Linked DNA regions of Mus musculus. The protein of the gene in region 4 purifies or fractionates together with the protein of the main gene of each other region. This does not show direct contact. Links are inferred from orthologs where the notes say so. Each region holds a gene or a part of one and is shown on either strand. Other genes may lie near its edges. The genes, in order: Rpap1, Polr2m, Gpn1, Polr2j, Med19, Gpn2 and Gtf2b.

Region 1 (3,500 bases), on a different chromosome or scaffold from region 4:
TCAGAGAATTTTTAAAAGACTGGAGTGGGGCTGGTGAGATGGCTCAGTGGGTAAGAGCACCTGACTGCTCTTCCGAAGGTCCAGAGTTCAAATCCCAGCAAGAGATCTGACTCCCTCTTCTGGAGTGTCTGAAGACAGCTACAGTGTACTTACATATAATAAATAAATAAATAAATCTTAAAAAAAAAAAAGATTGGAGTGGACTTTACCTTAAGGAAAAGATGAGGTGGAGGAGAGAGGTTGTCTTAGTGCTGAAGTTTGGGAAAAATTTGACTCTTAAGTGCTTACTAGAAAAAGGCTATGAAGCAAAGCCCTAAAGGGTGATCAGACTAAAGAGTCAGCTCACAGGTTGTAAAGAGAACCAGGCCTGGCAACACAGGCTCTCGGGAGCTGAGTCAGGAGGATTAGAAGGTTTTGTTTTGGTTTTTAGATTTATTTATTTTATACATATGAATACACTGTAGTTGTCTTTAGATACCAGAAAATGGTATCAGATCCCGTTACAGATGGTTGTGAGCCACCATGTGGTTGCTGGGAATTGAACTCAGGACCTCTGGAAGAGCAGTCAGTGCTCTGAACCACTGAACCATCTCGCCAGCCCCAGGAATAGAAGTTTAAGGACAAGCCTGGTGTGGTGGCGCATGCCTTTAATCCCAGCACTTGGGAGGCAGAGGCAGGCAGATTTCTGAGTTCGAGGCCAGCCTGGTCTACAGAGTGAGTTCCAGGACAGCCAGGACTACACAGAGAAACCCTGTCTTGAAAAAAACCAAAAAAAAAAAAAAAAAAAAAAAAAGAAGAAGAAGTTTAAGGACAGCCTAGGCTATATACAGAGTTCTAGTCCAGTCTAGGGTGAGTCCAGACACTCTTCAGCGTGCTAAGGATTGTAGCTCAGTTGATAGAGAGCTTGCTAGCCACTCCTAGCTCCACTGTCTCAAAGGAGTAAGGCAGAGAAACAGAACAGGATGCCTAGTGTCCTCAAGTTCATGCCTGCATGAGCATGTCCACCTGCATTCACGTGTACATAAAACACACACACATACACACGCACATGTACATTTATTAAAACATAAAAAAATTAAAAATTTAATAGTTACTCATAGTAATTTTTTTATTTAAAAACATTTTAGAGCCCGGTATAGTGGTGCACACCTTTAATCCCAGCACTTGGGACGCAGAGGCAGTTGAGTCTCTGTGAGTCTGAAGACAGCCTGGTTTATGTAGAAGTTCAGAGCCAGAGCTTCATAAAGAGACCCTGTTTCAAGGGAAAATAAAGGTTTTGAGACAGTGCCTTCCTATGTGACCCAGGCTGGACTCAGCCTTGTAACCCCTGCCGTGGCCTTCTGTGTATGTGCAGGAATGATAGGCACCTGCTCCCACTCCCAGCTCAGTAAGTATTGTTTTTATTTATATTTTTGGGCGGGGGTTCAAGACAGGGTTTCTCTGGCTGTCCTGGAACTCACTTTGTAGACCAGGCTGGCCTCGAACTCAGAGATCCGCCTGCCTCTGCCTCCCGAGTGCTGGGATTAAAGGCATGCGCCACCATGCCCCGTGTATTTGTATATTTTTATAAAATTGGAATTACTGCTTAATGAATTTTTCATTTAACCTTACATCATGAGCAGTTGCCATCCCTTAAATACTCTTAAGAAATCAATACTTAAACCGGGAGTGGTGGCGCACGCCAATAATCCCAGCACTTGGGAGGTAGAGGCAGGTGGATTTCTGAGTTCGAGGCCAGCCTGGTCTGCAGAGTGAGTGAGTTTCAGGACAGCCAGGGCTACACAGAGAAACCTGTCTTGAAAAAACAAAACAACAACAACAACAAAAAAGAAATCTACTTTGTGTGTGTGTGTTTACGTGTGTGTGTGTGTGTGTGTGTGTGCGCGCACTAGAAATGGAACACAGGGCTTCATGCATCCTAGGAAGGTGCGCTCAGGCTGTAAACTATGCCCTAATACCAACCAGTCTTTGCCCTTTAGCTTTCAGGCACTAAAGAAGGGAGGTCTTTCTAGGACCTGATTTCTGCCCTGTGATTTGATGGCATGTGACCAACAGTCATCCACTGCTGCTACTGATGGACATTCCCACTTGGCCCTCAGCATATCATTTCCTTCTGTCACAGCTGCCTGTGCCTCTGGAGTGCTACACAGAGCCTGCTGAAGACAGCCTGCCTCTCCTTCAGCTCTACTTCCGGGCCTTGGTTACTGGTACACTCCGTGCACGTTGGTGCCCCATCCTCTACACTGTAGCCGTGGCTCATGTCAACAGTTTCATCTTCTGCCAAGACCCAAAGAGCTCAGTAAGTCACCTCTCTATGTTCAGAGGGAAGGAGGGAGCTGGTGGACCAGTTGGGGATGGGCTGAGGGTTAAGTGAGTCCCTGGGTGGGTACCAGTCCTCGGCTTTGTGTCATATCTCTCTTCCGTCCACTCCCAGGATGAGGTAAAGACTGCCCGAAGGAGTATGCTGCAGAGAACGTGGCTGCTGACAGATGAGGTAGTATTGTGGGTGTCGGGACGGAAAAGATACAGGACATTAAGGTACCAAACCTCAACAAACTGACCACCCACTTCATGGGTTTTGTCTTCTCTGCAGGGGCTGCGGCAGCATCTCCTCCACTATAAGCTTCCCAACTCCAGCCTCCCAGAGGGCTTTGAGCTGTATTCCCAGTTACCTCGCCTGAGGCAGCAGTGCCTTCAGACACTGCCCACAGAGGGGCTCCAGAATGGAGGAGTCAAGACATAGGGCACTTGCCCCCAGCTAAAGATGACTACTCTACTCTCCTGGGACTGAGCAGTGAGCCTCCCGAGAGAAGGCAACACAAGACTTGCCTTCCTGTGAGCACATTGTTTGAGCCTTTTTTAGAACAGAAGGGACTCGTATTACATCATGATACTGGAGCTCAGGATCTGGGGGCTGAGGGCTGTGCCAGGCGTGGAAGGAGGGTGGCTTCAGTGTTTACCCTGCGGTGCCCAGGACAGTCTGAGCACAGCTCTCCTCACTCACCTCCAGTCTTCACCAGACCAGGATGTGCAATTACTGTGCTACACTCTGAAATAAATTCTTTTCTAGTCTGACTGATCTGGACTGTTTTGTCACATTCAGAGTTGGTAGCAAGGATGGATTTTCCCGAGGAGAGAGATGGGAGAAAATGTCACAATGGGAGGTAAACACATTACCATCTGGGGGTGGCAGAGGTGTGTGTCCTGGGAGTCAGTGACAGTGCGCCTGGAGTGGGTGTGGTCCTGGAGGACTCAGCATGCCCTGGAAGTGCTGAGGTCAGAGAACCCAAATGTCAGCCTGGTGTAGTTCTCCTATGCCGTTCTCAGTGGGCTTTTTTTTATAATGTGTGTTCATCTGTATGTGAGTATGGCATGTGTACAGAGACCAGGAGATGATTTTGGATCCCCCTGGAGCTGTGTGGTTTTGAGCTCCCTGCTGTGGGTATAGAGACCAGACTTGGCTGCGCTGACCACTGAGCTATCCTCCAGCCCTGGTACTT
Region 2 (4,126 bases), on a different chromosome or scaffold from region 4:
ATGAGGAGGGGGCACTGGGTTTCTGGCTCGCATTTCTAGCACTTTCATGTAATGAGGCTTCTTAGGAGTCTCACTCTGCAGTTCTGGAAAGTTCTCAGTGCTGGTGTTTTCTTCTGAGGGTTCACTCTGGTCTGCAATTGTGATTTTTTGCAATTTAGTGATGAAGAGACTGTCGATGCTGCTGGAGATCTCTTCCTCTTGACTTGAAACAGAGTGCTGGGGGAGATGCTCCTTAACTTCGGATGAGGGCGCCCGGGCTCGGATGTGGGCAGCTGGGCTGCTGTTTACTGTGTAGCCAGCCTCCAAAGTCTCTTCATTGCCTCTGTGAGTGAGATGTGTAGGTCCCTGTGTTTCTGAGGTTGATTTAGATGACTTAATGTCTATTGAGGAACAGTCAGGATCTAATGATGAAGTATCAAGCATCAGGTCAGAACTCTGGGCCTTGTCTACATCGGTGTCAGCTCTTGTGGTTGCTTTTTGCCTTAGCTTACAGTCTACACTAACAGGATGAAACAGTTCACTTCTCCCTCTAACCTCTTCACGTTCTGAAATGGCAGCTTTCAGTTTGGCAACTGTGTCTGAGATCTTTTTACCTTTGTCGGGCAATTTGCAAATGAATTTTCTGTGGAGTGGAAAAAAAGAAACCAGCACATACATATTACAGGCATGTTTTTAAACATGGGGAACACAGTATTTAAAAGGCAAAATGGAATCAAAGAAAAGCTGGCTCTTAAAAGTTTAAAAAAAATTTTTTTTGATTTTTAAAAAATCTGGCTTAAGACAATAACCAAACACGTAAAATTATTCTAACCCCTCCCCCAAGGGAGTGCTCTGAATGGGAAATGAAATTCTCTCAGGGTGGAAAGTTTCACACCTGACCACAGGATGATGAGGTGTAGTCAAAACCCAAACTATGAGCAGGGCGTGGTGGCGCACGCCTTTAATCCCAGCACTTGGGAGGCAAAGGCAGGCGGATTTATGAGTTCGAGGCCAGCCTGGTCTACAAAGTGAATTCCAGGACAGCCAGGGCTACACAGAGAAACCCTGTCTTGAACCCCTCAACCCGCCCCCCCAAGCTATAAGGAACATGGTATAAAATTACCTTCAAGCCATGTGTAAGAAACAACTGAAACTTATATTTAAATTTGGGTCTTAACTCTACCCATACATTCCAAGCCTCCTAAAAATATAAAATAATGGTCTTAAGCACTTAGGAAAACATGGTTAGCCTGTACAATAAATATATGATAAGGACCAGTGGGTTTTAAGCCATGGTCTCTGAACCCCGATGAACTGAGGAATGCCAGAGGTTACATAATGGGATAACATCACTATCTTACAAAGGAAGATGGACTTGCTTATGTGGTTCTGTGTTTGAAAGAATTCTCAGTTGCTTCTGGCAAACTGCTAATATTTCTAGACTCAGCATATATAAACAGGAGTTCTTTGAGATGCCAAATAACTCTTAAAGAGTATAAAAATGTTCCAAGACCAGAAGGTTAATTCACTGCTAAAATTAACAACCCAATCTTGAAAAGTCAAAATACCTACCTGTTTCTAGTAGGAACCCCTCCTGCCAAATGGTCATTGGCTCCTTTCCCTCAGTGACAAAAATTCCCTTTCTGGTTCTTTTCCTTGGTTATATAACAAACAGGAGAAGGGGGCTAAACCTTGGGTCCTCTATTTTTCCTGATACATTTATTCCCACGTTTTCAACAGTATTAATGCCTCTCTGCAACTGAGTTCCTCTCGGTTTTTTTCAGCCTTCTCTCTCTTGTGCCTAATACTCATTCCTCTGGGTTTTAATCGGTTGGCTTTTAATTAACTAAATGCCTGCAATTACTCCCTCAACTGAATACGCCCAAAATAAAAAATTAACCTAAAATCCATCCCTCTCTCCCAATTTTCCCATTATTCTTTGTTGCTCCCCAGAAACTTCAACCACCTGTTAACTATTAATATATATTTGTCTCCAAATTATTACACCAGTTCCCCCAATCCCTCGATTGCCTTCATGGTCCATTTTTCCCTCCTTGCTGAAAAAAAAACCTCTCAGAAAATATCCTTTTGGCGTCTTCCTTCAATCCTGTTCCTAAACAAAGCTGCCTTTAGGCAATCAGCTATCATCTTCTCCCCACTACGCATGAACCAAACTTTCCAGCCCGCTCTCCAAATCTATGGTTGGGGAAAGAGTGGGGCTTCAGATAGAGAGAAGGAAATCCCACACGTTCCGATCAAGAGGCTTTGGTACCGGAGCTCGTTCAAAGCTGTAGTGCGAACATGAAATCGAGCAGGCGCGGCTGCCGAGTGAGGGCCGGGCAGCATGGAGCCATGCCCGCGCACAGGACAGGCCTGGCTCGGGAGGCCTGGCCACGCAAGGTCACCTTCGCGCGCCAGGCCGCGGGGCGGGGCGGGAGACCAAGTCCCCGGATCCCGATCCCTGAGAGCCTGTTCCCTGATCCCGATCCCCCGCAACCGCGACCCCAGGGCCACCGCTTACTCGTTGCGCAAAAGTCTCTCCTGGCGCCTCAACCTCTCCCGCAGCTCCGCCGAACTCTGCCGCCCCAAGTCCTCGGGAGCTGGGGGCTCGAAGCCGCGGGGCAGCGAGAACATTGCGCACGGGCTGCGGCTGGCGCGGCGGGCAGGGATCCCCGGCGGGGCCCACGGCGGGCGCTGGCTCCGCGGCCGGCGGCGACTCTGGAGCGCGAGCGGGAGTCGCCATTTTCCCGGAAGAGCACGGCTTCTCCGAGCCGAAGGGAGCTTTATTGAAATGCCGGAAACGGACAGGCCAGGACGAGGGGACGCCCGAGGAAGCGTGCAGGGGCGGAAGTTACATCACCGCCAAGGCGTCTGGGTTTGGCGGGCTTTCTCTGGATGGGCCTTTTGCTTTCCCGGCTTTTCGCCTGTGCACTGGGAAATATAGGACACTCAAGTCAAAGACTTACAAACTCACTTCTAATAAGTAAAATATGACGAAAGTAATAGAGCGTCGCATCTACGATTAAGCAATCAAAGTTTTGGACAAAAAATTTACAGGGATTCCTGAATGGACATTAATCACAGTTAAAATAAATAACGGGGTTATAATGATGGCTCAGTGGCTAAGAGGGCATACTGCTTTTGCAGTATGCCAGAGTTTGGGTACCAGTGCCCCTGTTGGGTAGCTTACAAATGCCTTTAGACTGCAGCTCCAGGGCACTTCACAAACTCTGGCTTCTCCAGACACCTGCGCACAAACACACACACATTAACATAATTTAGTCTTCAAAAAATAACAAGTGACCAATATAGCTAGCTATAATAAAATGCATATTAGAAACAATATAGTCAGGTATGGTCGTGCATGCCTTTAAGTCTGGCTGACTGAGTTCAAGGCCAGCCTGATCTACATAGTGAATTCGAGGTTGCAAAGTGACTCTGTCTCAAACAAAACAAGATTTGAATATTTGAGCAAGTCAGAATATCAGGAATTAGAAAGGTCGACCATGTCAACTGTTGGAAATAATGAAGAGCGACTGAGATTCCTACAGACTGCTAATGGGGGAGCAGAGGATGCAAAATAGTACAGCGTCTTTGGCAAGTAGTTGGACAGTTTCTGATTCGGGCTTTGCTGCCCTGCCCCTTTTTTATTGCTAGGCAGTATTGCATTGTGAGTTGTGTGTTTATGCTGAAGGATATTTGAGTTGTTTTCAGTTCTTAATGATCACAGATCAAGTCACTGTCAACATTTTTAATAGATGTTCATGTCAACATAAACTCTCATTTCTCTTAAGAGTGGGCTTATTAAGCCATATTAACAAAGGGAATAGAAAGGAAGAACGGCTCCACTCTTGACTTCCACGGCCTGAGAAATTCCTCTAATCTTTTAGGGATTTCAAACCAGGGTTTGTAACTTTGATGCTGAAAATATTCAGGACTAGGAGAATAGGAGTCTAATAAAAAATATTTTCATACAGGCCTAAGTATGAGTGTTCAGAGATATAAAAGTGCTCAAATGGAACATATACCCAGAGATGGGCATGGGCTTCTCAGGGAGAGTCACATTTCATTGTTTTTATAACACTTATACCTGATGGACTTCGAAACAATTATCTTTGAAGCATTGCTAAGAGATCTAAGAGACCAC
Region 3 (3,500 bases), about 100 Mb from region 4:
TTTCCTTAAATGCCTGCACATTCCTCAAATGTGGCCGTCTTAGAAAAGGCTTCAGCGCCTGCTCAGGCTGCTCTCCCCGTACTGTGTCCTCTCCGGCTGTTCTTGCATTCACGGCCCACATGCACGTGCACACCAGCTTACCACGTGCACGTGCACACCAGCTTACCCAGCTTCCTGGGAAGCTTTGTGTCGAGGTTTCCTTGTGCTCCTAAATTAATCCAGGAAGAGCTGACATCTCTGTGCTCTTGCTTCTTCCTCCTCAAGAGCAGGAAGAATTTTCGTTTTGGCAGGTCTTGAGTCTTTCTGGAATGTTATCTTGCGTATGTTTTGCATATTTCTAATTACATTATTGAGTGGATTTTATCTTCTTTACTACATGTTGTTTTACTCTGGTAACTGGTAGGGGTTTGTGCTGTTTTTTGTTTAGTTTTTTTCTCGTTATTTGTATTCTGCTATCTTCCCTCCTCCTCCCTCCATCCCTCCCTTACTCCTCTTTCTTTCCTTCATTCTGTTATTTTTATCATTGACCCTCTGTGAGTGTCTAGGATGTGCTTATATTAAAAAATATATACTCCTGGGGCTGGAGAGATGGGTCAGCAGCTAAGTGCACTTGCTGCTCTTGAAGAGAGCCCAGGTTTAATTCCCAGCACCTACATGATGGCTCACAACCACCTGTAACTGCAGTTCCAGAGGATCCAACAGTCTCTTTTCACTTCCATGGGCAGGGGGCTTGCTTGTGGCTCATAAATATATATGAAGGCAAAACACTTGTACATAAGAACTAATGTAGCTGGGCGTGGTGGTGCATGCCTTTAATCCCAGCACTCGGGAGGCAGAGGCAGGTGGATCTCTGAGTTCAAGAACAGCCTGGTCTACAGAGTGAGTTCCAGAACAGCCAGGGCTACACAGAGAAACACTGTCTCAAAAAACAAAACAAAAAACTACAAACTCTCCCGCATGTCTGTTGGTCCAGCGCACTCTCATGCTGCCCTCTGATCAGCATAACAGCTCAGAGCCAGCTCAGAAGACACGTGTACTGATCAGTGTTTTAACCCTAGGCAACGCATCTCCTGTGCTGGATCCTTCTGACTTGATCCTGACTCGAGGAACCTTGGATGAGGAGGATGAAGAAGCTGACAGTGACACGGATGACATTGACCACAGAGGTGAGAGGCAGCCGGTGGACATAGCAGCTGCCCCATCCACTCAGGAGATTGTCACTGTTGAGAGGAGATCCTGAGCAAATGGCCAGGGACAGGGGAAAGGGAAGATGGTAGAGCACACAGCACCAGCAAAGGGTTCCATGTGAAGAGTTCTGACCTTGCTATGTGTTCTAATTTCATTCTGTTGCCGTGGCAAAATAGCCCAATGGAAAGCAATGCAGTGGAGAAAGGGATTGTTTCCGCTCCTATTGCAGCTTCCATGCTGTGGAGAGGCCAGGTGACATCCACAGCAGGAGCAGGGAAACGAATGCATGCCCCTCACTTGTCTTCGTGTACTCAGCTTGGTCTCTCTGCCACACAGTACAGGACCTCTGTCTAGCGAGTGGCCCCCACACAGTGGGCAGGGTCCACTAACGTACCTTTCATGTCTTGTTACTTCTCCTGAGTTTGACTCAGTTAGCAGGTGCTGCTGTTTCCGTCTGTTACCGGTGTTTTGGTTGATAAGTGGTGAAGGCTGTACCCCCTGCTAAAAGCATTGATACTGAGCAACATCCTGAGTCGCTCACCCTGGGGTGGGGGGCCAGCAGGCTGTTTCATAAGCCTTCCAAGTGACTGCTGTGCTCATTGCAGAACTTCACAAAGCTATTTCTTGAGCCCCCTTTGCTTCTACCGGGGGAAAACATGAGAAACATGTCTCTGAGCCCCCAGCAATCTGTTTTACTGGCTCATAGACAGGAGGAAGCAATGTTGGGTTTTAAAGATGTGGTTTTGTTTTTTTTTCCTTTCTGTGTGTGAGTGTCTTGCCTGTGTGTCTCTGTGTGTACTATGTGAATGCCTGGTCCCCATAGAGGTCATAAATCCCCTGGAAATGGAGGTACAGATATCGTGAGCCACCATGTAGGTGCTGGGAACAAACCTAGGTCCTATGCAAGAGCAACAAGTGCTCTTAACTGCTGAGCCGCCTCTCCAGCCCCCAAGTGTTTGAGTGTTTGCCAGTCACGTGTGCTGGTGCTAGGCTGAGGCTGTGAGTGAGTGGACTCTTCTTTCTCTGGCCTGCCTGAGCAGACCTCAGATTAGGATTTTTTGACTTTGATGCTGCATGTTCTAGAAGCCATTTCATTGACTGAGGGTGTAAGTATGTAATTCCTTAAAAGTCATTTCAGCCAGGTGTGGAGGCGCATACATGCCTATAACCTCAGCGTTGGAGAGACAGGCAGGAAGACTATGGGTTCTAGGCCAGCTTGGGATTCATAGCAAGTCCCAGTCTTGAAAAAGTGAAAAATAATTTTAAAATGTATGTCTCTCTTTCTCTCTCTGTCTCTCTCTGTCTCTCTGTCTGTGTGTGTGTGTGTGTGTATGTGTATGACAGGAGCTCTGATTCATTGTCTACTATGAAGGTTTTAAACACAGCACCCTTGTCTCCTGCAGTTACAGAGGAAAGCCGTGAAGAGCCAGCATTTCAGAACTTCATGGAGGAGTCAATGGCACACTGGAAGAGGAACAAGTAGGCCCTCCCACCTGCTGTACAGCTCTGATGTGCTGAGTCTCCATGCAGAGGACATCCTTCCTGTGAACCAGGGCTGCAGTCAAGAGCAGTTTTCTCCCAAATGGTGACTTCTCTGAGGGAAACTGGGCTTAGATGAAGTCTGGTTGAAGGCGGAGCTGGCAGGTGGATGCCCATTCTTGGGTAGCTCCTCCCGATATTTATGCAAGGATGTATTCTCACCGCTCTGGAAGCTGAGAGATAGCTGCTGAGCCTATAACTTCAAGTATCATCGTTTGAACTCAAGTATTTCTGCTGCTGATGGACAGAGAGGACGTCTGTCCCAGAGACGCTTTGGACCTTGACTAGCTGGGTCTGTGGGCACAGCAGGATGGAAAGGAGAGTGTGTGTGTACAGAGGGCAGCACAGTGCCCTGGGCAGCCAGGTCGGATGTGATCTGTGCTCACACGAGGTAGCCCATTTTCAAGAATACTGTTAGGATGGTGACTTGGATAAAGATTTTGACTTTAACTTTGTGGTAAGCTTTCCTGTCATGGTTTGATATTAGAAAGTATGTGATCACTAATAGATTTCCCACTATTAGTTATGACCAAGCCTTAAAGACATGTCTGGTAGGATATAATGCATAGTAGGTTAGTTTCCCATGTCTATCCACCTAACCATGGCCAAAATCATGTCCTTATATTGTACTTAGAACAATACAAAGCATTGTTTGTGACCAGGATTTGGTCCATTCCGTCCATTCAGAGCTAGGATTTGCCCTGGTTCTCAGGAGTGTAGTAAAATCACGAGCCAGGCAGTTCTTATGGATACACCTCCAAATCAGCTTTCCT
Region 4 (4,176 bases):
GAGTTCGATGCCAGCTTGATCTACAGAGCAAGTTTCAGGACTGCCAGGGTTGCACAGAGAAACACTTGTCTTGAAAAACAAACAAAACCAAGACAACAACAACCAGAAGCAGCCAGGCGTGGTGGTCCATGCCTTTAATCCCAGCACTCGGGAGGCAGAGGCAGTCGGATTTCTGAGTTTGAGGCCAGCCTGGTCTACAAAGTGAGCTCCAGGACAGCCAGGGCTACACAGAGAAACCCTGTCTCGAACCCCCCCCCCAAAAAAAAAAAACAAAAAAACAACCAACCAGAAGCATCTTAAGGAAGGGTATACAATGCAGATGTCATAGCAACAGGATTCCCAGGCAGCCAAGCACACTGCATCTGCGCCAGGAAGCTGTAGTCTGACTCCTGAGCCTCTAGGATGATGCCATACACGTCTGTCTTCCTCAGTCAAATCTGTCTAGAATCCCAAAGACAACCAAACGTTCTTTATTATGGTTATGATTATTATTCTCTATTGTGAGTGCACACATGTGTAAATGCATACCGTGAAGGGAGGTCGGAGAAGTCTGTTCTCTACCACCACGTGGGTTCTGGGGACTGAATTTAGGTAATCAGATTTGGTCACACTCCCCCTTGCCCACTGGGCTGTCTTGCTGGCCCCTCCTAGGGGTTTGTTTCTAGGATGATTCTAAATTTCATCCGGTTGACAAGATGAGCCATCAGGGAGGCTGGAGAAATGGCTCAGCAGTTAAGGGTCTTACTGCTCCTGCAGGGGACTGGAGTTCGGTTCCCAGCACCCACTGGGGCAGGGGGGGCTCACAACCACCTGTAACTCCAGCTCCAGGTGACCCAACCCTCTTCTGGTCTCCAAAGGCACCTGCATATACGTGCCCATACAAGATATGCAAATAAAAATCTTTAAAAATAGGAAAAATAAAAGATTGCTACAGAGACCGCTGAAAAATGGCGAGGTGCAAAGCTTTCATCGTGTTTTTAGTTACCTGTGTGCTCAAGAGAAGATGCGCTGGTACCCCAAGCTCCTCCCCAACCTTTACATCCCTTCTTGCTCCACTGGTCCTCATCTAGAAGGCCTCATAAGTCCGCCAGTGTCGGCCCACCCGGGGGTCCTGCAGCAGCAGCCCACTTAGACTCTTAGTCCCATTCAGTCGGTACCGGGGAGCCAGCTACAGGTGGCTCAACTCCGGGCGCGGGAGCACGCGCCAAAACACTCAGCATGGACGCCTCGAACAAGGGTTCTAAACTGACGCATGCGCACGGCTCGCCCTCAGCCTTGCCTGCGCCTGCATTAGGTCATCCGAGCCGCTAGGGGGCGGGGGCCAGGTGCTTACACTGATTGGCTGCGGCTGAGAAATCCGGAAGTGGTCGCGCTTCGGGGCTCTGTTGGCGGAAGGAGACTGTGGGTTGGTGTCGGGGAGCGAGAGCGCGGCGCTAGGATGAACGCTCCTCCGGCCTTCGAGTCGTTCTTGCTCTTCGAGGGCGAGAAGAAGTAAGTGGAGGCCGGCGGAGGCGGGGACGGTTGCATAGGAGCCTGCCGGCCGTCAGCTCCGCTGGAGCGCCGCACTGCTCCTGTCTGGGGAAACCGAGGCGGGAGGCGGGCTTTGCTTTGAGTCTTCCGTGCTGCTCAATGCGAGTCTGCCCAGCTTCAGGCAGCGGCGCGAAGCACTGGCGCGTGCATGCATTTTGCAGTGGGAAATCGGAGGCTCTGGGACATGGAGTGTCTTGCTCCAGACACTTGGTTCATGATGACAGCTGTGAAGGGACAGAGACACAGCTCTCTTACACTCCTCAGCAACCTGAGGGTTTCTCCTAGATTTTCAGGGATCCCGACTTAGGCCAAACCCGGGTTCGTGGCTCCACGCTAAAAAGAATTTCAGGACTCTTCGGTTTAGTGAAGCAGGATTGGTGGGTTTTTAATTAAAGATACTTTAATATGGGCTTAAGCAGGAGGGTTCAGAGGAAGAGAGCGCTAAGAAAGTAAGACAGACGCAAGTTGGGTCTGTGTGCATTCAGAGAGCAGGGGGAAGTACTTTGCACTCGAGTGGCTACAGGTTTAGAGATTAAGCATCTAATTGTCTTTTGGAGGTAGGGTTTCTCTGTGTATCCTCCTTGACTGTCTTGGAACGAGCTTTGCAGACCAGACTAGCCTCAAACTCAGCGATCCACCTGCTTCTACCTGGGATTAACGGCCTGAGCCACCGGCTCTGGCTTTATGTAATTGTCTTAATGGTAGCCAAATACACTCTTTTGATGACTCAAAGTTTGCTACGAACCCTTCTCTCTTGTGTAACCCTTCTCTCGTGTGTGTGCCCCTTCTTGGAAGTCAGCTTAGTCTCTATCTCAGTGGGAAAAAGGTATGGAGGTGTGCTAGGAATCGTTTGTGAACCCCAAAAGATCATTAAGGAGCCGTTTCCATTAGGGTCTCTTTATCACAAGCTCGGGCTTGGGCTCTCCTCCAACCCAACCCTGACACAACAGGACAGGAAGAGAAGGCAGAGCAGCCTTGAACCCAGGACAAGGTTTTCTAGGGAGTGGGAGTGACGGGGTATGGAGCTTGGCAGGTATCTAACTGAATGTCTGTTGTAAGCTGACAGGTGGTGCTGTGAAGGGAGATGAACAATCACAAACTATCTGAAAGTAGATCTGAAGCAACCAGACTAATCTTTGATTAACTGTTGCTAGGGAGTAACTCTGGGGTATGGGCCAAGGGACAAGCCGTGAGGTCCTTCCTGGTACTTGGTTGCATCTTGGGTTCTGCTGTAGGTCAAGTTCTCAGGCTTTTTTTGCGGGGGGGGGGGGGGGTTCAAGACAGGGTTTCTCTGTATAGCCCTGGCTGTCCTGGAACTCACTTTGTAGACCAGGCTGGCCTCAAACCCAGAAATCCGCCTGCCAATGCCTCCAGAGTGCTGGGATTAAAGGCATGCACCACCACGCCCGGCTTTTTTTTTTTTCTTTAAGATGGAGGTAGCAGGTCCCAAGATGGAGTAGATTTGGCCTCTCAGAGGTATACCCCAGTGGTAGATTGCTTACCTAGCATGCACGGGGCTCATTTCATCCCTGTATCAATCAGTCAATAAATAATGAAGTTCTTCAAGATCCTCCGAGTTTGCCAGTACAGTGTACACTGCAGACCTGTAGCCGACACTGCTCATTCCTAAGAGGCAGGGTTTTGTGATTGACATTTGATAGCTACTTCAGCCTTCCTTGGGGGCATATTCTCAACTGAGAGCCCGGTTGTTGTCCCATGAGCAAGAGCATTTGGCCATCTGGAAAAGGTTCTGGTTGTCCCAGGCACGTTGGTATTGGCAGCGGGTGGATAGCAGCAAGGGATGCTGATAACAACCCTTGGTGCAGTAGACAGGCTCCCAGAAAAGGACAATCAGGTCCAAAACATCCATGTTCTGGGCTGGCAACATGGCTTGAGCGCAGGCACCCGCAGGCAAGCCTGATGACTTGAGTTCAGTCCCTGGGACCACTATGGTACCAGGAGAGACCTGACAATTACAGGTTGTCCTCTTATCTCAGACAGGCGTGGACAAAGTAAGAAAATATTTGTGTACCGAGTTTGAAAAAAGGAGCAATCCTTAACTGAGCGGTGGATTTTAATCCACCTTTAATCCCAGCACTTGGGAGGCAGAGGCAGGGGGATCAAGGCCAGCCTGGTCTACAGATCAAGTACGAAGAAATGTAGTCTCAAAAAAAACAAACAAAAACAAGGACTGCTAAGTCCATGCTCCCTGGTATATAAATAGGAGGCCATCACAGGGGAGAGGCGGTTCCTTGTTAGCATTTATTGATTGATTGATTGTCATGCTGAGGACTTGTGTGTAGATCTGAGTTCTGCTTCCAGTGTTTCTCCAGGGGCATGGGAAGTGGAGACAAGCACAGTGTGTCCATTGGCAAATGAGATTCTACCTTAAGCAAAGAGAAAGGCCAGGGTGATGGCTGAGGTGTTTCTCTATCCTCCTGCCTCAGCCTCCCAAATTGCTGGGATTACTGGTCTGAACTACCAGGCAGGCCTACCTTGTTTATTGTTTGGACGGTGGGAGTGGTGGAGATGAGACCCAGAGACTTACACATGGGAGGTTAATGGTTGGCCACTGAACCATGCCAGAGCTCTGAGTCCTTTACTGGTGAGTAGACTGAAAAAGGCCTCCCAGGGCTAGACCTGTAG
Region 5 (4,285 bases), on a different chromosome or scaffold from region 4:
ACTAATCTTCCATGCAAAATTTCTAATGTATCCAGATGGATCTTGCGGGACCAGAGGGTCTGCAGCAGATCTAATTATCTTCTGGGTAGAAAACAGCAACAAAACTGTAACACAGCTAGGCAGTGGTGGCACTTTTAATTCCAGCACTTGGGAGGCAGAGGCAGGCCAATTTCTGAGTTTGAGGCCAGCCTGGTCTACAGAGTGAGTTCCAGGACAGCCAGGGTTACACAGAGAAACCCTGTCTCGAAAAACAAAAAACAACAAACAAACAAAAAACTGTAACACTATTTCCTTTGAGAAAACAACTTTCTAATTTTGTTTACCTATATAAATTCTTCAGTGTTTAGTTCAAATGACATCTTATTCTTGCTGTCATTTTGGCTAACACATTTTGAAAACTATCAGGTAGTTTTTAACATTGCTTCCTGTGTTGAACTATAAATAAATAAGACTGACACCCACAAAATATAAGCACAATCCTTAAACCATGTATTTTGGATCTCAAAAAATAGGCTACCTAAAAACTAGGCTTAATAATCTTCACTTCTCGGGGCTGGTGAGATAGCTCAGTGGTTAAGAGTGCCGACTGCTCTTCCGAAGGTCCCGAGTTCAAATCCTAGCAACCACATGGTGGCTCACAACCATCCATAACGAAATCTGATGCCCTCTCTGGAGTGTCTGAAGATAGTTACAGTGTACTTACATATAATAAATAAATAAATCATATATATATGTATATAATCTTTACTTCTCATAATCCCACCATACCTTGGATATTCAGTACTTATCAACTGATCTATTAATGGTATAATTAGAACAGGTAATGCAAAAGATAAACTGCTGGAAGAAGCTGGGCATGATGGTACATACTTGAAGGTAGAGGCAAGTGGATCTCTGTGAGTTCAAGGCCAGCCTAGTCTACAATGAATTTGAGACAAGCCAGGCTTACTGAGTGAGACCATGTCTCAAAAACCCAGTAAGATGGGCTGGAGAGCTGGCTTAGTGGTTAAGTGCATCAACTGCTCTTCCAGAGGTCCTGAGTTCAATTCCCAGAAACCACCTGGTGGCTCACAAGCATCTGTAATGGGATCTGATGCCTCCTTCTGGTGTGTCCATAGAGAGCAATGGTGTAGTCATATACATATCTTTAAAAAAAACAAAAAACAACTAAAATAAGGAAAAAGAAAACTGCCTTAACAGTCATTTCTTTATGCTTCAGTTCTCAATTAAAAAATACAGACAATACCTATCTATCTAAAAGGACTATAGTAAGTATTACATATTGTTACACACTGCACTGATGTGAACTTCAAACTATTTTGCTAATAAATACTGGGATAACTGAGGTTTTTATTTCTTTTTTGAAGCAGGATCTCATGTCTCCTAGGCTGGGCTTGAACTATAGCTCCTTCTGCCTTCACCTCCTGAGTGCTGGTATGGAGTACTACAAGTTCCCCAAGACTTAACATGTCCAGAACGCCTCTTAAGTTTTAGCTCTTCAAATTTTTTCTTTCCATGCCTTCCTAGTCTCAGACTACTGTACCCTTTGTACAGGACACTCACAATTCCTCTCTCTGTGTATATTTAGTTCTTTATTTCTGTAGGCTTTACCTTTAACATGTATCCTGTATTCATTTGCTTCCCGACCACTAAGCCCTGGTCCAAACCATTCCTTTTCTGAACACTGACTGGCAACTTCTGATTATCCTATTTTCATTTTTCATGTTTCTGCTGGATATCTAAAAATCACTAAATTAGATCATTTTGCACCTATATTGAAATGACTTCAATTTGAACTTTAAACAACCTACCTTGCCTTATAAAAGCCTCTACCTATTTCCCATCACTACTGGATTTTTTCCGCTTTCCTGAGTCCAATGTGTCTTCTGCCCCTCAGATATTCTAAGCCCCGCCCCCCAAGGTCTCCTGATTTAGTTTCTTGTACCTAGTATCTCCTCTCTATCCAAACAGGGATGGCTTTGTTTATTCTTGAATGCTACCTACTCAGAAATGATTCTGTGAACGCGACGCCTTTTGCAAGGCAGGCAAGAGTTCTACCACTGAGCCACGCCCCCCACCACCACAATTTCCCCGAATAATTTTATGAAAGTAAGAATTGATTCAATTCTAATCCTTTCTTTGAACAGGTTAATCTCCGAGTCCCTGACAAGGAAGGCAACTTGCTACAAACCAACAAGTTTGTGACAGACTTTAAACTAAAATCTTAAGTGTCTCCAGAAATGTTAAATCGGGTCTCCCGAGTTCTAAACAACGGCTCACGTTTTTATAGAGTCACAAACGGCAGTCAGAGAACCCGGATCACAGAACTTCTCGCTGAAGGTTGTCCCAGATATTCACACCCAACCCAAACCCACCCCAGAAAATCAAGTTATCCCTTAGGGTTGTGAATCGCCAAAGGGCTTCTGACACTGTTGCCCACTGGCCCCGCGTAGCCCTGTTATCTCACACCTAGCGGGACAGGCTAGCCACACCCTCACCTGAACTACAATCTGAGTGGCTACTCTTGGCCTACTACTCACCTGGCAATTCCCGCATCAGGTAGAAGGGGCCACTTCCAGCCGTCGACTTATCCGCTCCTGCGGGGGCCGAGGTTGCCGTCGAGGGCGGGGCTGCGCCTGGACCACCTCCCGGAGGAGGAGGGGGTGGCGGGGGTGGCTTTCCAGGCCCAAAGCCTAGGGCGCTTGGTGGCGGTGGGGGGTCAGTCTGAGCTCCAAACAGTGCCGTGAAGTTCTCCATAGCACTCTGCGCTCCTGGTTACCCGGGATCGGGCGTTAATTACTTTGATTGGACAGTACTTTCACAGGGTACCACCCTCTTCGTCTAAGAGTGTCCCATCATTGGATACATTAAGCCCCGCCTACCATCTTCCGGCAACTTACTTCCGTCGCCTGAGAGACTGGTTAGGAAGGTGGTTCGCAGACTAATAGCCAATAAAATGACTCAGTTAGAAAAGCGACAACGATGAGGACCAATAGACTATTTAATTCATTTTCTGATCTATTATAGCATCCAATAAGAGATCTACATCCGGGTCTGGAGGCGTTGCATCTGATATTTGGTCCAATAGAAGCCTTGCTGGTGGGGGCGGAGGACGAAGATTTGGGGAGCGGGAGTGAGCCTGCGAGAGAGTAGGCAGGAAAGATGGCTGTCCTTGCGCCTCTGATTGCTTTGGTGTACTCGGTGCCGCGGCTTTCTCGATGGCTGGCCCGACCTTATTGCCTTCTGTCTGCTCTGCTTTCCATTGCTTTCCTCCTCGTGAGGAAACTGCCACCGATTTGCAATGGTCTCCCCACGCAACGCGAAGATGGCAACCCGTGTGACTTTGACTGGGTGAGCGCCCCCTGCCTTACCAGCTCTCGACCTTGACCATCCCTGCCCTGCAGGTGCATGTGAAAATCTGGGAGCAGGTTTCGGGATGTAGCCGCCTTACAGACTGAGTGCAGAGCCTAGGCCGTTATCTAGTCATAACCTCCGTGTTTAAGATGGAGAAACAGATTACAGGGTTTCCATCACAGATGAACAGTATTCTACAGTGATTCCAAGCTACCTGGGGCGCCAGTGAAGAAAAGGCCAATAGTAGAAATACCATTAAATTTTTTTTGTTTAATTTTTAACGAAGTGATCACAGTGTAGTTAGGCGATTTCCCAAGGAAACGCAGCGTTCAGAAAGTGCTGTCTAACCTTATTCAATTCTCTGATAGACTGGCAGACGAAGGTCGCTGACTCAACAAAATAAATGACTTGGATGGAAAATCGAATACTCTGGGCATAGTAACTATGCACACTATCTTCCTGCGGTGGGATAGAAAAACAGGGAAGATTACAAAAATATGAGGTGTGGGGAGGGAGGCCCCTCAACCATCTAAGAAGCAGTATGTAAGAACAATTAACATTTGCCGTAAAGGTTGTGGACATAGAGCTAATAAATACCTATACAGGTATTTATGCTAAAATAGCAATGACCAGGACTTAAGGCCTAAAGGTATTGATATAACCTTGGGCAGGCCTCACATGTTCTGGGACTCTCAAATAAGATTAACTTTGTTTACATTAAAGATACAGTACTGTTGCCAGGCTTTGTGTTGTACCCTTTTGATCCCAGCTCTCTGGAGACAGAGGCAGGTGGACTTCTTTAAGATTGATGTAAGCCTGGTCTATATAGGATTTCTAGATCCATCAGGACTACATAGTTAGACACTAACTCAAAATGAAAGAGCACAACAGATACTCTACTTATCTCAATCCCTGTACTCTAGAGTCTTTC
Region 6 (3,992 bases), on a different chromosome or scaffold from region 4:
TTTTGAGGTGGGTGTGGGCCCCTCTAAATGAACAGCTTCACAGCAGGTGTAGAAATAGATGACACTGTCCTTATTTTCATTTTAAACCCAATCCTACAACTTAAAGGATCACGGGGCCCTCAGGGAAGTCATTTCCTCAAGTCTGGGTTTTGGCTTCATAAGGGAGTCTGTTGTGGAAATGAAAATTCCCAGGTCCCTGATAGTTGACACTCCTCTCCAGAGGCTGGAGAGCAGAATTTGGAGACAATGCTTTGTCTTTGGTGCTGGAGGTGTGGCTCAGGAGTGAGTGTGTCCTTGCCCCGGGTTCTTGTGCTATGAGCATGAGACCGCTCTGATAGAACAAACCAGATATGTAGTAATTACTTCCTGTCTCTTGCTAACCTCTTTACTGGGCTTTGAAGAGAGCAGCCTTCTCACCAAGAGCTCTGTTTTATCCAGATACCATGGAGAGAAGTTACAGCCATTTAGGCAACTGAAGAGGCCCCGTCGAACTGGCTTGGGGCTCATTTCCACCATCTATGATGAGCCTCTGCCCCAAGACCAGGGGGAGACCTTGCTCCGGCGCCAGCCACCCACCAGCATGAAGTTTCGGACAGATATGACTTTTGTGAAGGGTTCTAGCTGTGCCTTGGACAGACCTGAGCCCGAGTGAGCCTATGTCCTTGGTCAGGATCACTCTGCGGCAGGGACTTAGCCCTCTGCCTGGATCTTGCCCTGTGGACCTGAGAAGCAGCCCAGAGCCTGGGAGCAGCCCTGAGCATGCCCAGTTTCTCTACCTCAAAGATGATATCACCAAAAGCCCCTCCGTCTCCTGGGGTGTTTGTGCCTAAAGGCCTTCCCTTGGTCTCCAGGCCCTAGTGCTTGTTTGGGTTTGCCCAGAACAGTGAAGATCTGGACTGCCTGTGGCACCGTCCAGTCGGGTTTGAGGGTTGTCTGAAGAGCTCCGTGAAGCTGGGAAAGGGGACCAGAGAATTGATCCAGAGAGCGTCGCGGTCCCTTACCACGTCTACCCTCTGCCTAGAGACGGATCGGTGCGAGAATAAACCAGTTTACCCGGCATGGAGATCTGCCTTAGTGAAGCCTGGGGAAATCTTAAAACCGGAGGTGTGCGGTTGCGTGACCACAGCCTATGCCGTGGCCGTGTGGGTGGGACTTCCTCTCCAGACAAGTTCCGGCGGAATCCGGAAGTCGGAACTTTTCCCTTCCTTGCCGGGTAGTTTGTTCGTTTTTCTGCTTGAGTTTACTTGGTGAGGCGCCCGTGGGCTGCCAGCTCCACCCATGGCGGGGGCCGCCCCGACTACGGCCTTCGGGCAGGCAGTGATCGGGCCCCCGGGCTCGGGGAAGACCACGTACTGCCTGGGCATGAGTGAGTTCCTGCGCGCTCTGGGGCGGCGCGTGGCGGTGGTGAACCTGGACCCCGCTAACGACGGACTGCCTTACGAGTGTGCGGTGGACGTGGGCGAGCTGGTGGGGCTGGGCGACGTGATGGACGCGCTGCGCCTGGGGCCCAACGGTGGCCTGCTCTACTGCATGGAGTACCTGGAAGCCAACCTGGACTGGCTGCGCGCCAAGCTGGAGCCCCTGCGAGGCCACTACTTTCTCTTCGACTGCCCCGGCCAGGTGGAGCTCTGCACGCACCACACCGCCCTACGCAGCATCTTCTCCCAAATGGCCCAGTGGGACCTCAGGGTGTGTCTCGGGTCGGGCAGAAGGAATCCCTGAGACCGGGAGGCGGATAGGTGCCACGCCCCCAAGTTACATTGGGAGATAGCGGCTGAGTTAAGTTTGAAGCAGAACTAAAGCCTCTGAGATAGAATTTTAGCTCGGCCCCAACTCATTTCATGGTCTTGGAAAGTCCTTTCACTCAGTTTTGTCATCTCTAAAATGAATGTGACAGTTCCCAATTTTAAAAACAGTGGAAGTGACTACACAGAAAGTGGCTTAGTGATTGGTTAGTTGGTGTTCAGAAGTGTGATGAAAGAGTAGAGAGGTAGGTGCAGTGTGATTTGAACCCTTTGTCCACTGCAGGAACTGTGCAAGAGACCTTGGAAGAGGTGTTGGAGATTAGCTCAGTGGTAGAGAACTTGTCTAACAAGCAGAGGCCACAGTCCCTGGGTTTGGTCCCCAGAATAGTAGGAAGGACAAAATGGTAAAATTGCCCCCTATCTTCTTGGAGGAGGACATGATGTTATTAAATTTAAATTAAGTTGCCTGGCGGTGGTGGTGCACGCCTTTAATCCCAGCATTTGGGAGGCAGAGGCAGGCTGATTTCTGAGTTCGAGGCCAGCCTGGTCTACAGAGTGAGTTCTAGGACAGCCAGGACTACACGGAGAAACCCTGTCTTGGAAAAAAAAAATTAAGAACAAGAGGCAGGAAAATATCTCAGGCCTGTAACCCCAGCAATGTGGTGTGGAGGCAGAAAGAGTTCTGGGCCATCAAGCCCTGTCTCAAGCAGGCACATGAACAGGAAATAGAACAGTACTAAGGAAGGAATAGAACAGTACTAAGGAAGGAATAAAACAGTACTAAGGAAGGAATAGAACAGTACTAAGGAAGGAATAGAACAGTACTAAGGAAGGAATAGAACAGTACTAAGGAAGGAATAGAACAGTACTAAGGAAGGGTACACTGGATCCGTGGGCTGCCAGGCTCTCGAGGGAGATGTGGGCTCAGAAGTGTCCTCCCTCACCAGGTCAGTCTTCCTCTCACCCTGTACCTTCTGCTCACAGCTGACTGCTGTCCACCTTGTGGATTCTCACTACTGCACAGACCCAGCCAAGTTCATCTCCGTCCTGTGTACCTCCCTGGCCACCATGCTGCACGTGGAATTGCCCCACATCAACCTCCTCTCCAAGATGGACCTTATTGAACACTATGGGAAGCTGGGTAAGAGACTGCCTGCAGCGCGAAGGGAGCTACCTCGCTGCCTTCCTGACTTTTGGCCATTATTTTGTGCGCTGTGCTAGATGCCACAGTTGATTTAGAGATGAGAGCTACAGATGGGGCTTTAAAGGATTTAAAACAGGTGGTAGTACAGTGGCTGGCTGAAGGGAGTGGATCACAGCTCACTGCTCTGAGCCATGGCACCCTGACTTTTGGGTACCTGTTCTGGCCTGTACAGTAGAGGCAAAGTGCTGTCCTAGTTGGGGCTGTTGTAATCAAACTACCATCAACCCAGTGCCTAAGACAACGGACATTTATTCCTCATGTTCTAGAGAGTGGGAAGTCTTAAGACCTGCATGGGTAGATGCAAGGTCTGGCTAGTAGGTGGCCACCTTACCCCTGCATCCTCACATGGCAAGGGGAGTTGGGTAGTGTCATGTCGCAATGGCCAGCATATCTTTCTGCCAGATCATTTCTCTGCTGTGCTAGTAGCATGGGCTCTTTAAACTCCGAAGTCATAAAGGAACAGAGGGAAGGAAGCTGATGTCTAGCAGGTGAGCAGAGGGGGAGGCTGGGAAATGACGTGGAAGTGGCCTTGCCTGGTGAGGACATGGAAGGATGCCAGCCACATCAGTCAGCTCATCTTCGAGGGCAGCTGACCACGGAGCCCAGTGGCTGTCAGGGCACTCTTCCTCTTTATTAGGAAACTGTGCATGGAGCAAAAGCCTGCTGTTAGAGCATCTGCTCTGGTCCTGCTCTAAGGAACTGGCCCAGGAAGGGAAGGTGCCTTACCCAGGAGGCCTTGCTGCTGGACTGAAGAGCGATTCAGTTTGACCAGCGTTTCCTAAGTCCTTCCAGTGTGTGTGCTAAGGCCCTGGGCTCTGACCAAGCTTCAGGAAGCAGGGACTAAGCATAGTTCTCAGTACCTGTTTGACACTGGTGTGGACAACCATTGACTGACTGTTTCTGTGTACAAGGCAAGATGATGGGTTTACAAGCTGTAGTCCTCACAACAGTCCCAAAAGGTGTGGTGGTGCATGTCTCTAATCCCAGCACGTGGGAGAGGAAGGCAGGAGGATTGCTTTCAAAGCCAGCTTGTTATGTGATAC
Region 7 (3,500 bases), on a different chromosome or scaffold from region 4:
GTGCCATATCTGGGGCTCAGTGTTGGTTTCTGTTGTTGGCAGATCTGGCATTCTGCAGGAGCTGTAGCCAGGTCGGCCTTGGTGAGTGGAAGTCCGTGTTGCTGAGCCCAAGCATAACCTCCATCTCGACCACCATGGCCACTTTGTTCATGTGTCCATTGAGCAATGACAGGGATGGCTGGGGAGAGAGGCTGACTGTCTACAGAAGAAAAAATTACAGTCTTGTAATCAACATTAGAAACTTGGGCTGGGATTAAGAGCATTTGGCTGCTTTTCTGGAAGACTTGGGTGAAATTCCTGGCTCACAAACTGTAACTGCAATCCTAAGGGATTCCTCTGATTTCCCTTGGCATCAGTAATGCACTGGTACACAGACACACACACACACACACACACAGGCAGATACCTATTACATATTTTTACAAACAACGTTACCATCTTTGGTATCAGTTGTGTAAGACTTTTTATGAGGAGATCCAACATGAACATCTGTTTACCCCAGATGGGGAACCAGTGATGGACCCAAGTAATGATTCTACCAAAGGCCATACATACATACACACCCCACCATAGTCACAAACTTCAATCCTAGAGCTGTCTTCAGGCAGCAGGTCAAGCTGGAGAATCTCTCCAGGCTACGTAGCCAGTTAAGGCCTATATAGTAAGAACCTGTCTCAAAAAATAAACAAAGCAAGATTGTGCAGTAGGAAAGCTCTAACATGGCATATAGTTCCATTTTCTGTATTGTTGAGCAATTGCCAAGATTTAAGTATTCCTGAAACCAACCTCTTTAAAGCATGTTCTAATGGAAGTTTCTGTTTGAGTCACAGGCTCCACTGGACAGACTCCCGGGGCATATGGAGTCAGAGTGTGTACATTACATTTTCATAGACACTGTTCACATTTTCCAAAAATGTTGACCAAGGTTAAATCTTTGTTTTATAGGGTACAGGAGCTGCAAGTTTTGATGAGTTTGGCAATTCTAAGTATCAGAACCGGAGAACAATGAGTAGCTCTGATCGAGCAATGATGAACGCATTCAAGGAAATCACGACCATGGCGGACAGAATCAACCTCCCTCGCAATATAGTTGTAAGTTCTTATCCGCCTCCTCCAAGCCATTCTGACTTTACTCTGCATAATTTAATGAATACATACAATTTTGATACTGTAAGTGATTAAATGGCCTAGACTTAATTAAACTAAGTTTCTCTGCTTTGAAGGATCGAACAAATAATTTATTCAAGCAAGTGTATGAGCAGAAGAGCCTGAAGGGCAGAGCTAATGACGCGATAGCCTCTGCTTGTCTGTACATCGCCTGTAGACAAGAAGGCGTTCCCAGGACATTTAAAGGTAGGCTTCAGTTGTACCAAGTAGAGCTCAGACAGGCAGCGTCAATGCTTAATGACACTGCACAGTGATCCATGTACACACCGTTTGCCAGTGGCTCTGTATGTTCTTTGACAGAAAAATGTACAAGACAGGCTTCTTTGCCATGTTCTTTGCAAGCTGCTTATGCAGGTAGCATTTTAATCCCTGTAAGTCAACAGTATAGCTGACTGGTTTTTTTTTTGTTTTTGTTTTAATTATTTATGTATGTGAGTGCATTGTAGCTGTCTTGAGAGGCACCAGAAGAGGGCATCTGATCCTATTACAGATGGCTGTGAGCCACCACGTGGTTGCTGGGAGTTGAACTCAGGACCTCTGGAAGAACAGCCAGTGCTCTTAATTGCTGAGCCATCTCTCCAACCCCACAGCTGACTGCTTTATAGGAGCCCTGACATCATCTGCTGGAGAGGCTTTTGAAGTTACATATATAGCTGGTGATGGAAACCACAGCCAGCATAGGTTTCACATTTGAGGGGTCAGGTCTTGGAAGGGGTCAATGTAATTAGGTTGTTGTTTCATTTTTGTTTTGTTTTTTGAGGCTTATTGTTTGCAGTTTTATGCAAACTAAGGACTTCTGATTTAAGTGCTGGCTTTTGTCGAGCTTGTGTTTCCTCAGGACAAACTCCTCCAGTGTTGTGGTGATACCTACACTGCCCATCACTGACCAGGTCCAGGTCGGGACTATAGTCACCATATCCAATGAGCATTTTCATAAGCTTTCCTAAGTCACGGGTAGAGGGATGACTAGCACAGCTCTTTTGCTGTAACAGCTCAAACAGGGGTAAGAGTTTAGCTTATATAGCGACAGCATGCAGACAGTTGCAGGTCATACATGTGCACTCGCATTCTCCAGCTTGAGTGTTTTCTTTCTTCTCCTTAGAACATTTCTTACCAGGCTGTCAGAGAAGTTGATTCCTTGGAGAAACTTATTGTATAAATTGAACTAGATAAGTTTGTGTTTTGAAAGAAAACAGTCCAAAGTGTGGTGAAAATATAAACCAATATGTTTTGAATAAATAAGCTCCATAGGAAGTACTTCCGAGAGGATTTAGGGCTCATCTTTAAGCCTTGATTGAATTTTTTACAACCAGAATATTTTAATAATTTATTAATAATAAATAATAATTATTTATTACTTAATTTTATAATAAAGTTTATAAAATGAATTGTCTTACAAATTCTTTAAAAATACTTTCTCTTTTAGAAATATGTGCTGTGTCTCGAATCTCTAAGAAAGAAATTGGCCGCTGTTTTAAACTGATTTTGAAAGCTCTGGAAACCAGCGTGGATCTGATCACAACTGGGGACTTCATGTCCAGGTTCTGCTCCAACCTTTGCCTCCCCAAGCAAGTGCAGATGGCAGCTACACACATAGCCCGCAAGGCAGTGGAGCTGGACTTGGTTCCTGGCAGGAGCCCGATCTCTGTGGCGGCAGCAGCTATTTACATGGCTTCCCAGGCTTCAGCTGAGAAGCGAACACAGAAAGGTAGGAGCTTCATCAGGACATCAGCCAATGAGATGGCAAGGCTGGGAGTGTAGTGGTCTTACTCATAATCTCCCATGGAAAGGGTTAACTATTCAGATCCTTGAAGAAGCATTAACTCATAAGGAGGAAGGATTGGACAGAGTCCTCTTCACCAAGAGATTATTTGCTTAGTGTGCTTGAGAGCCTGGTTTTCATTCCTAGCCTCACAACAAAACAATACCTCAAGAAAGTACAGTAGCTTGCTTATAGTGGTTATTTAGAGGTATACAGCCTGTGTGCAAGGCTCCTTTTCCAAATTAAATTGTTTAATTTTCATATGTGTCTTTTGTGAAGGGATTTACTGGAACATGCACAGCTTCTCAGTGGTTACTCTCCCTGGGTGATGCAGATATAGGCCAGATTCCACCAGATTAAAGTAGATAAAGGCAAGTTTATTAGGAAGCACCTCTCAAGTGGGTTCATCCATCTCACAGGTGGAGGTCAGTGAAGTTACACTTCCAGGCTAAAGAGGGGGTTTATGTTTAGGCAGAGTGATGACATCTCAGCTAGGATCTGGGATTGTGGTCATACATGGTCAAAAACCGAGTCCCTAGGCGGGCACTCTTGAGTGGAAATCAATGACATG

The links.
Region 1: the proteins of Polr2j (region 4) and Rpap1 purify together in Homo sapiens (affinity purification with mass spectrometry; 5 studies listed by BioGRID and IntAct, with this or other methods). This does not show direct contact. The link is inferred for Mus musculus from reciprocal best matches to the Homo sapiens genes POLR2J and RPAP1.
Region 2: the proteins of Polr2j (region 4) and Polr2m purify together in Homo sapiens (affinity purification with mass spectrometry; 3 studies listed by BioGRID and IntAct, counting the BioPlex papers as one, with this or other methods). This does not show direct contact. The link is inferred for Mus musculus from reciprocal best matches to the Homo sapiens genes POLR2J and POLR2M.
Region 3: the proteins of Polr2j (region 4) and Gpn1 purify together in Homo sapiens (affinity purification with mass spectrometry; 5 studies listed by BioGRID and IntAct, with this or other methods). This does not show direct contact. The link is inferred for Mus musculus from reciprocal best matches to the Homo sapiens genes POLR2J and GPN1.
Region 5: the proteins of Polr2j (region 4) and Med19 purify together in Homo sapiens (affinity purification with mass spectrometry; 3 studies listed by BioGRID and IntAct, with this or other methods). This does not show direct contact. The link is inferred for Mus musculus from reciprocal best matches to the Homo sapiens genes POLR2J and MED19.
Region 6: the proteins of Polr2j (region 4) and Gpn2 purify together in Homo sapiens (affinity purification with mass spectrometry; 3 studies listed by BioGRID and IntAct, counting the BioPlex papers as one, with this or other methods). This does not show direct contact. The link is inferred for Mus musculus from reciprocal best matches to the Homo sapiens genes POLR2J and GPN2.
Region 7: the proteins of Polr2j (region 4) and Gtf2b purify together in Homo sapiens (affinity purification with mass spectrometry; 3 studies listed by BioGRID and IntAct, with this or other methods). This does not show direct contact. The link is inferred for Mus musculus from reciprocal best matches to the Homo sapiens genes POLR2J and GTF2B.

Annotation. Positions count from the first base shown.
Region 1 is NC_000068.7:119,763,538-119,767,037, reverse strand, and holds the end of Rpap1 (RNA polymerase II-associated protein 1), read left to right. Parts: intron 1-1,979; exon of another isoform or gene 1,980-2,122; coding exon 2,123-2,299; intron 2,300-2,434; coding exon 2,435-2,494; intron 2,495-2,593; coding exon 2,594-2,743; 3' UTR 2,744-3,079; downstream 3,080-3,500. UniProt on the Homo sapiens protein: Forms an interface between the RNA polymerase II enzyme and chaperone/scaffolding protein, suggesting that it is required to connect RNA polymerase II to regulators of protein complex formation.
Region 2 is NC_000075.6:71,483,184-71,487,309, forward strand, and holds the start of Polr2m (DNA-directed RNA polymerase II subunit GRINL1A), read right to left. Parts: upstream 2,801-4,126; 5' UTR 2,614-2,800; coding exon 2,501-2,613; intron 1,776-2,500; exon of another isoform or gene 1,552-1,775; intron 623-1,551; coding exon 1-622.
Region 3 is NC_000071.6:31,508,241-31,511,740, forward strand, and holds part of Gpn1 (GPN-loop GTPase 1), read left to right. Parts: intron 1-1,058; coding exon 1,059-1,166; intron 1,167-2,591; coding exon 2,592-2,671; 3' UTR 2,672-3,500. UniProt on the Homo sapiens protein: Small GTPase required for proper nuclear import of RNA polymerase II (RNAPII). May act at an RNAP assembly step prior to nuclear import.
Region 4 is NC_000071.6:136,115,315-136,119,490, forward strand, and holds the start of Polr2j (DNA-directed RNA polymerase II subunit RPB11), read left to right. Parts: upstream 1-1,376; 5' UTR 1,377-1,438; coding exon 1,439-1,491; intron 1,492-4,176. UniProt on the Homo sapiens protein: Core component of RNA polymerase II (Pol II), a DNA-dependent RNA polymerase which synthesizes mRNA precursors and many functional non-coding RNAs using the four ribonucleoside triphosphates as substrates.
Region 5 is NC_000068.7:84,676,917-84,681,201, reverse strand, and holds the start of Med19 (mediator of RNA polymerase II transcription subunit 19), read right to left. Parts: upstream 2,801-4,285; 5' UTR 2,758-2,800; coding exon 2,541-2,757; exon of another isoform or gene 2,374-2,540; intron 1-2,373. Other genes in the region: Tmx2 (thioredoxin-related transmembrane protein 2 isoform a precursor), read left to right, coding at 3,163-3,351. UniProt on the Homo sapiens protein: Component of the Mediator complex, a coactivator involved in the regulated transcription of nearly all RNA polymerase II-dependent genes.
Region 6 is NC_000070.6:133,583,181-133,587,172, forward strand, and holds the start of Gpn2 (GPN-loop GTPase 2), read left to right. Parts: upstream 1-1,192; 5' UTR 1,193-1,278; coding exon 1,279-1,689; intron 1,690-2,729; coding exon 2,730-2,886; intron 2,887-3,992. Other genes in the region: Gpatch3 (G patch domain-containing protein 3), read left to right, coding at 439-652. UniProt on the Homo sapiens protein: Small GTPase required for proper localization of RNA polymerase II and III (RNAPII and RNAPIII). May act at an RNAP assembly step prior to nuclear import.
Region 7 is NC_000069.6:142,778,747-142,782,246, forward strand, and holds part of Gtf2b (transcription initiation factor IIB), read left to right. Parts: intron 1-945; coding exon 946-1,092; intron 1,093-1,223; coding exon 1,224-1,353; intron 1,354-2,593; coding exon 2,594-2,875; intron 2,876-3,500. UniProt on the Homo sapiens protein: General transcription factor that plays a role in transcription initiation by RNA polymerase II (Pol II). Involved in the pre-initiation complex (PIC) formation and Pol II recruitment at promoter DNA.